2 linked regions of the Ovis aries genome follow. The protein of the gene in region 2 interacts with the protein of the main gene of each other region in a biochemical or structural test. Links are inferred from orthologs where the notes say so. Each region holds a gene or a part of one and is shown on either strand. Other genes may lie near its edges. The genes, in order: synaptojanin-2-binding protein and RALBP1.

The links.
Region 1: the proteins of RALBP1 (region 2) and synaptojanin-2-binding protein form a complex in vitro, tested with the Homo sapiens proteins (2 studies listed by BioGRID and IntAct, with this or other methods). The link is inferred for Ovis aries from reciprocal best matches to the Homo sapiens genes RALBP1 and SYNJ2BP.

The regions. Positions count from the first base shown.
Region 1 is NC_056064.1:26,357,103-26,360,248, forward strand, and holds synaptojanin-2-binding protein, read right to left. Parts: upstream 1,698-3,146; 5' UTR 1,603-1,697; coding exon 1,165-1,602; 3' UTR 537-1,164; downstream 1-536. UniProt on the Homo sapiens protein: Regulates endocytosis of activin type 2 receptor kinases through the Ral/RALBP1-dependent pathway and may be involved in suppression of activin-induced signal transduction.
Region 2 is NC_056076.1:42,111,170-42,115,700, reverse strand, and holds the start of RALBP1 (ralA-binding protein 1), read right to left. Parts: upstream 3,027-4,531; 5' UTR 2,864-3,026; intron 2,443-2,863; exon of another isoform or gene 2,364-2,442; intron 2,247-2,363; exon of another isoform or gene 1,480-2,246; intron 1-1,479. UniProt on the Homo sapiens protein: Multifunctional protein that functions as a downstream effector of RALA and RALB. As a GTPase-activating protein/GAP can inactivate CDC42 and RAC1 by stimulating their GTPase activity.

The sequences.
Region 1 (3,146 bases), on a different chromosome or scaffold from region 2:
CATCAGGCAGCAAAGCCTGAATTGGCTGCCTCTGGAGAGAGGTCAAGGCTGATGTGGGGCCAAGACTAGGGGTGAGATGAGGTGGAAGACACGGGACAGCAGAGACCACACAGTAGGAAGAGGACGTACGAGATAGAAAAAGCAGGCGTGAGAGGAGCCCAGGGCAAAGGCAGCAGCGGTCAGTCCCTGGGCTGCCGTGGGTGCTGACAGTTTTCCGGGCTGTCCCAGTCTATGTGAAAACCTACAGGAGACCTCGCTCGTGAATCTGACTCTTGCAGTGCGAAGAAGCTAAGTGACACGGGACCCTACCCACAGCTTCTGCTTGTCACCTGTGAGGTGTCTTCCTCCTCCTTGGGGCCATGGCTTATTTTTTTTTTTTTTTTAAGATTCTTAATTAGTTGCTTTAGTTTTCGTTTTTTTAAATGACTCAGATTGCTATCCTCTTTTAAGCCTCACTCTATTACTCTTGCTACATACTGAATTCTTCTATTGAAGACTATCACTTAATCCTTATAGCAGAAACCTAGAAACCGGAGTTGCTTTCCACTTCTTTAATTCTCCATAAGGCATCACTATTATAATATCATACATGAATATGTACGTATATATATGTGTGTGTGCGTGTGTGTATATATATATATATGTTTGTTTTAAAAAGTAGAAATGTTCTTCTCAATCATCTTTGTTTGATACAAAGTAGGTGCCCAAGTAGGTATTAATAGTTAGAAATTAAATAAAAGGCCACAAAAACTTCCCAAGGAAGATCATTAAAGAGAAAAATCCTTTTTTCCTCTTATTACAGCTGGCCTTTGATGCATGCCAGGTAAGAAAAAAAGGAATACTGCAGGGTGATGGGAAGACTGGACCTTTCCCATTTTTTGGGTTGTAGCTGAACTTCTATTGGCGGTTCTAGTAAAATATATAACTCTTCGTTTGTTCTAGGCAAGTCCTTCTTTCGGGTTTCCTTCAGACACTGCCTTTACTCTCCCATGAGAAAATGAGGATTCAGAGATTTCAAATAGCAAGATTCTGGTTGGGTAGCAGTCTCTTGAAATCATGAGCTGGCTATGTAGAGGGAAAAGTTATGGAAGACTGGCAGGAGAGGGTGAGAGAAAAAGAGAAATGTATCTTCTTCTTTGGGAGCACAGGAAGAAAGCAAGTTTTTCAAAGTCGTTGCCGGTATCTCATGAAGGCCCAGGCTGCTACCATGGTGAGGGCAAACACTGGCACCAGCACCATAGTTATGGGAATACCACTTGGCTCCCCTTCGCCTTGAGGTCCTATGGGCCCATTCTGCACCTGTAACCTGTGCTGCACTCTCAGGGACACAGCATAGCCTGCATTACGGAAGGGGTCCACAGCATCCTGGTGCAGCAGGTTCTTTAGGTCTTGGCCGTTGACCGAGAGGATCTTATCACCCTCCTGGAGCCGCCCATCCAGGGCTGCAGCCCCGTTCTCTTTGATGCGGCTGACGAAGATGCCACTGTTGTCGGAGACATACTGCTGATCTGTCCCACCGACGATGTTGAAGCCCAGCCCTGACGGTCCTCTGGTGAGATTGATCTCTTCCTCGGTAATCAAGTAATCCACTCTTCCGTTCATATTTTAATCTCTGGCTTCCCGACCGGGGTCAGCGAGGATCGGTGCAGGTTGAAGGTGAGAAGCACTACCGGCAGCAGCCACAACACCGCACTTTCGGCCATGGCTTATTCATCTCTCTAACCAGAGCATCTGGCCCTGTGCAGGGAAACCTGTCGGTGCCTATTAATGTTTGAATAAATAGCTGCATTTATCACAACAGTCCTTGGCCCAGCCTTCGTCCAGAGGTTGTGGAATGAGCAGCAGTGCAGATTTTAGAGCCGGTACCCATATCAGCCATGTGCAAGGAGGTGAGCTGTGCCAATGAGATTCTTTCTGGGCGACTGAAGTCTAAAATGAGCAATGAAAAGGCATTACCAGGAGGAGCTGAGGTTTCAAGGGTGTGTGGGGAAATGGAAAAGCTGTGTGGACCCTCAATGTAAGGTTATGAAGGACCTTACAGGACGAGAAAGGAGACCCCAAAATGGTGAATGTGAAACGGTTCTGTGGCCTGTAAAACGAACACAGGTGTCCATGATCAATAAAGCTGACTGTAAGTCTCAGGCGTCGTTGCCAATCTACTTGTGTGACTATAAGAGGGAGAAGAACCTTTGTGTTCTTCTACAAGTTAATCACTAACGGGATGTTGCCTCTAAGCTTAAATTACCCATAATGGACCATCTCTGGGACACTTGTCACCCAGGTAATGAACACTAAGCTAAAATACCTTCGTTTAGCTCACGAGGAAGCATCTTCCTGACCAGGCCCATCTGTGAAAGACTGAAGGCAGGAGGAAATCCCTCCTGGAGTCTGGCCAGAACCAGGGCCTTACTCCCTCCTCTTTCAGTGTTAAAAGAAGCCTGGATTCTAACTCAAGGAAGATGGTTCATAAGGACACAAGTCTGCCATCTTCTCAGGCTGCCATTCCTTACCCCAACAACTTGTCACTTGATTTATTGACCTATTATATGGCAAAGCAGTATGAGCAGCCAGTCTTGCTGCTCATGGCCAGCCAGCTCTGGTTGGGGGATTTTGGGGGTAAGGCCCTAGCAGCTGCCCGGACCACTCGTCCTGAGGATCTTCCCCTTAAAATTCCCTGAAGCTTCTCTGGCTGTCCCAGCTCTTAGCGGGTGGAGCAAGGAATCAACATCTCATGCAGTAGGTAAGTCACTCCATGTAACAACTGGAGATCTTATTTCTTCTCCATTTAGGGCTTCTTTCCTTTAGAATAAGACAATTTGTATTTGAGTGGAGCGTGTGTGTGTGCTCAGTCGTGTCTGAGCGATGCCATGGACTGTAGAGCCCACTTTGTAGAGCCCACTATAGGCTCCTCTTGTCCATGGAATTTTTCAGGCAAGAATGCTGGAGTGGGTTGCCATTTCCTACTCCAGGGGATCTTCCCGACCCAGGGACCGAACACTCGTCTCTTGCATCTCCTGCATTGGCAGGCAGACTCTTTACCACTAGCGCCACCTGGGAAGCACATTTGAGTAGGGCACCATGTTGGAAAGAGGATAAGAGGACATAGTTGATGGACTTTTATGCAATTTGTGTGAATTGGTTTGTTT
Region 2 (4,531 bases):
CAGCAGCTGCATCTCCACTGACCCTACCTTAGTTTAGGCCCTTATCTGTCACCTCAAATATTACAAAAACTGCTCACCGTCCTCCTACATCCTGCCTTGTCCTCCCTCCATCCCTTCTGACATCTGTATGAGACCAGAGTGATTTTCCTAAAATGAAAAGCTTATGACTCTTGCCTGGTTAAAATCCATATGCTCTATTATTACCAAGAGAAAAAGCCCTCGAGAACCCTTAGGATGGCATGGGGACCGATCTGTGCAGCCTCACCTGATCCCATAAGCCCAATGCTACAGCTGCAGAGAACGACTTTCCACCCTCACAGTCCTCTGGTTCAACTTTCCCTTGGCCTTAGCCTCTTCTCCTGCAATTTCTGCCTCCTTCATGCCAAAGCCTTCTTCAAGTTTAAGGACATCAAGTCTAAAACACCTAATACAAGGCCTGACACACAGGGAAGAGTTACAATGTAACTCTGTAACTCTAGTCCCTATGAGAGAGGCTTAGGCCTCTTTATCCTGTCTCAGTGACTCCTGTCTGCTTCAAGATAAAGCTGAAATTATTTCACCTGTCTACAAAACTTCCTAATTTGGCCTCTGCCTACCTCCTGGGTTTCACAGCTTGCCACCACCCACCACCCTTATGGGCCATACCTGCAGATCCCACACTCACTCTGTAAGTTTGGACTCCTGGCTTTTCTCAAACAGATCCTCCTACCGAAATGCCCATCCTGTCTGAGCCTGTCTCCTCACTGTTCTCAGCCCTTCCCATAGTTTTCCCTACCACTGCCCCCTTCCACACTCTCCTCCCTGCCCCTTTAAAACTGACCACTACCTCCCTTGTATACCCACCGTGCCCCTGGCCTTCCTTCAGTCAAAGCAATCTCAAAAACACAGTCTTCATGGAAGTTCAAGTAAGAGATAGTCTTAGCATCCTGAAGGCAGGGGCACTACCTTATCCATCTGTAAGTCTTCACAGTACCTGCTACACAGAAATTAAACTAAATGACCTGCACTTTTACTTATTTCCTCTACATATACTAACAAAAGCTTCTATTGGAGATTTTCTTCCAAAAAAGAAAGAACATACTTTTGGGTTATATTTTGGGCCCAATCTCTCTTTGTAAAGGAAACACCATAATTAAAGTTATTATGCACTTTCTGATATCACTTCTATTTTTCTAAATCAAGGGAGAAATGGTCCCTAGAAGACCTAAAAGGAGCAATACTATTTTAAAGAGATAATAAATTATCTCTCGCAGCTTCAAGATACTGTTTAAAAAATTACTTCCCATCGGCTCCTGTTTAGCTAGCCCACCTCGCTTCCTTTTATGGGTCACTCTGAAAAGTGGAAGCCCCTCTGCTAACTAACTTCCTTCCTGCCGGCACCATCTGCCGAAACAGCTGACAGCAATTAACTCGTCCTCAGGAAGACACTCAGAAAGGACCAAGTGGCCAAGCTAATTCGGAAGGCGGAAAATGGATTACCTTTCTCATTTCCAGACAAGACTCCGTGACCAGCGAACCGCCTGTGGCCGGCGGCTTCCGGAGAACGTGAGCGCTTCTCCGCCGAGCACCTGCACCACCACCGGGGCCGCAGGGCGGAGACCCGCCCGCTCCAGGCGCACAACCCGCGGTGACCGGCTCCTGACCCGGCGCGTCCACGTGAACGCGGCATCCGAACCACAGCACTTTCACCCGCACCGTCAAAACTGCTCAGGTTAACACTTGATCACCTTCGAGCACTCAACCAGGCCTTAGGAGAAGATGCTCTGCTTGCTCAGCGGGGAGGCTCTGGAGTCACGACTCCCAAACCCGAGGGGCGTGAGGAACTAAGGGAGGCTCGGGTGTGGGGTACTCGGGGAAACCTGTTTCACTCTCACAACGTTTAAAACAAGAAACAAAACCCGAAAGCCACCCCACAGTTGACCTCCATAAGAGCCTGTGGGCACAAGCCCACCTGACGAGGAGTTCTGATAAGAATTCCCAGCTCGGACTTGTCGGCGCCCGTGGAGCACCCCCGCGTCCACCAGCCTCCCTCCGCGCCGGGCGCGCACCGGAGACCCTCCAGCATCCTGGCCGCGGTTACGTAAAACCCCGAGTCCCTCTCCGCCATCCGAGGCCCGCGCCCCGGGGAAGGGCCCGGCTTCCACCCTCCTCGCCCGGACCCAAGAGCCCCGGCCGGCGAGCGGAGGAATGGGCTGCGCGGGCCGGAGCCGCCGACCAGCGCCCGGCCCCGCCGCCCCGGCAGCCACGCCCCCGCCTCGCCGCCCGGCCGCGAGAGCCCGGCCCGCTGCCTGACAGACGCCGCGGGGAGGCGCGCGGACGGCTGCAGGCACCGGGCCCCGACGCGACCGCCGCCCGCCACTGACCTGCGCCGCCGCCGCCGCGCGACCGCCAGCGCCGCAGCCGCCACCTCCTTGCTCTCACGCCGCTGCCGCCGCGGCCGCTTCCTGCGCTGCGCCCCCGGCCGGCCTCGGTCTCCCCATTCCCACCCCGCCCCAGCCTCCGCCTGTTTACAATGATTGGGACAGAACCGGGCGAGCCGGCCCACCGCGCATGCGCACTCCCTCCACCCGCCGCCGCCAGCTTCCCGGCTCCTCCTCCCAGCGCAGACGGCCGGGGCCGTGAGGGCAAGTGTCCCGTGACCCCCCGCGCGGGGCACGCTGGGAATAGTAGTCTTCGGAAACCTAGTGCCCAGTCCTCATGCGGCCCTCCGCTGGAGGCGCACTACAACATCCAGGAAGCATCACGCCTGCCGGGCCCAGGGGCCCGCGGGGGAGACCCGGGAGCGCGCGAGAGAACGCGTCGCGCCAGAGCTCCGCCGGCGCCTGCGCAGTTCTCGGTGGTCTGGGACCGGGTGGTCGGGTACCTCTTCAGCGCGGGCTCCGGGAGGACTGCTGCGGGCAGAGTCGGCCGAACACCGGAGAAGGGCAGTTGTCCTGTCCACGCTCCGCATAGCCTGTTCCCTAGCTCCCGAGGCGCAGACCGTCTTCACCGCGGGTTTCAGTCCCAACCAGTTAAACCGGCCCGATGGCCAGCCCAGCAGCCGCGGGGTGGGGCTCATCCCGGGCTGGGTGGGGAGTCTGGCTTGGGGTGGGGACTTTTGCTGGGGATTTGGACAAAGGAACCGCCCCGGGCTTCTAAAGAGGAACCTGCTAGAATTTCGTGTCGGCCTTGGCCTCAGCGTTCCTTAAACGGGGGTAGACGAGAGCCTCTCTAGATCCTTGCACCTTGTACCGAGGAGCTCTTGAGTCAGAGCTGCCCTTCGCACGGCAGGCGTGCACACAGAACTGGATCTGAAGGAAGACGGAAATAACTGCATTTCCTCCAGAAACCCTTCACAAAGGCTTCAAGAATTGTCCTGCAAATGTTCTTGTCTTATAAAGTTTGGCAGTTGACTTGGGGGATGTCTCCTGTCCATCGAATTCCCCAGGGAAGAATGCTGGAGTGGGTTGTCAATTCCTTTCTCCAGGGGGTCTTCCCGACCCGGGGATCCAACCCCGGTCTCCCGCATTGCAGGCAGATTCTTTACCATGTGAGCCACCGGGGAAGCCCCAAGACTGGGGATAGATGGCCCTTCCCTATCACCTCCATTCCTGCCTGTGCACCTCTTCCTACAACTTCATTACGTATTTAGACTGACCTCTGTGATCCACCGTATCCTGTTCCAAATCAGCCCGCCTCAAGTCTGACGGTAGATCCCTCCCTTGTACCCTGCATTTCCCACTCAAAAGTTCAGCCCCCTTGGCTTGACGCCCAGGAAGGACCCACAACGGGCCCACAACAGACCAAGATGGTCTGCGGTAGCCATTGTATTCTGACTTTTTGAAAAGCTTTCTTACTGCTCTTCTGGCAACAGAACGGTGTCCTCTGTCCACTGGGATGGGCATTTTATCTTTCCAATTACAGTACTCTGCCTCTGGCAACATTGATTGGGCCAAGGGATGGGCACTGACCATATTGGCTATTGAATCGTTGTTGGAAGTTGCTACATGGACACACAAAAGGGAGGAAAGGTAGCATCTTATTGATGGTTATGTTATTCACAAAGAATATGACCTTTCTCAATTTCACTGGTAGTCCAGTGGCTAAGAACCCGCCTGCTAATGCAGGGGACACAGTTTCAATCCCTGGTTGGGAAAGATCCCACATGCCTCGGGGCAACCCCATGCACCAGAACTACACCTGTATGCCCAGAGCCTGTGCTTTGCAGCAACAAGAGAAGCCAATGCAATGAGAAGCCTGTGAACCTCAGGGAAGACTAGTCTCCGCTTGCTGCAACTAGAGGAAGCACACACAGCAACGAAGACCCAGCACAGCCATAAGTAAATAGTTTTAAAAAGAGGCATTTTTGCAGCAGCAATGAAAGGCTAAAAAATGTGGGGGGTTGGGGAACAGGGGGAGAGGAACCAGGAGCTGGCACTAGGCAGACTGGCTTCAGCTTCAGAAGCCATGGTTTGTATAGCTCATTTGAAGTGCTTTGAGTATGTGAAGCTAGCTAAGTGAGCCAGTGCAATTACTGTGTGGTTATGGAACA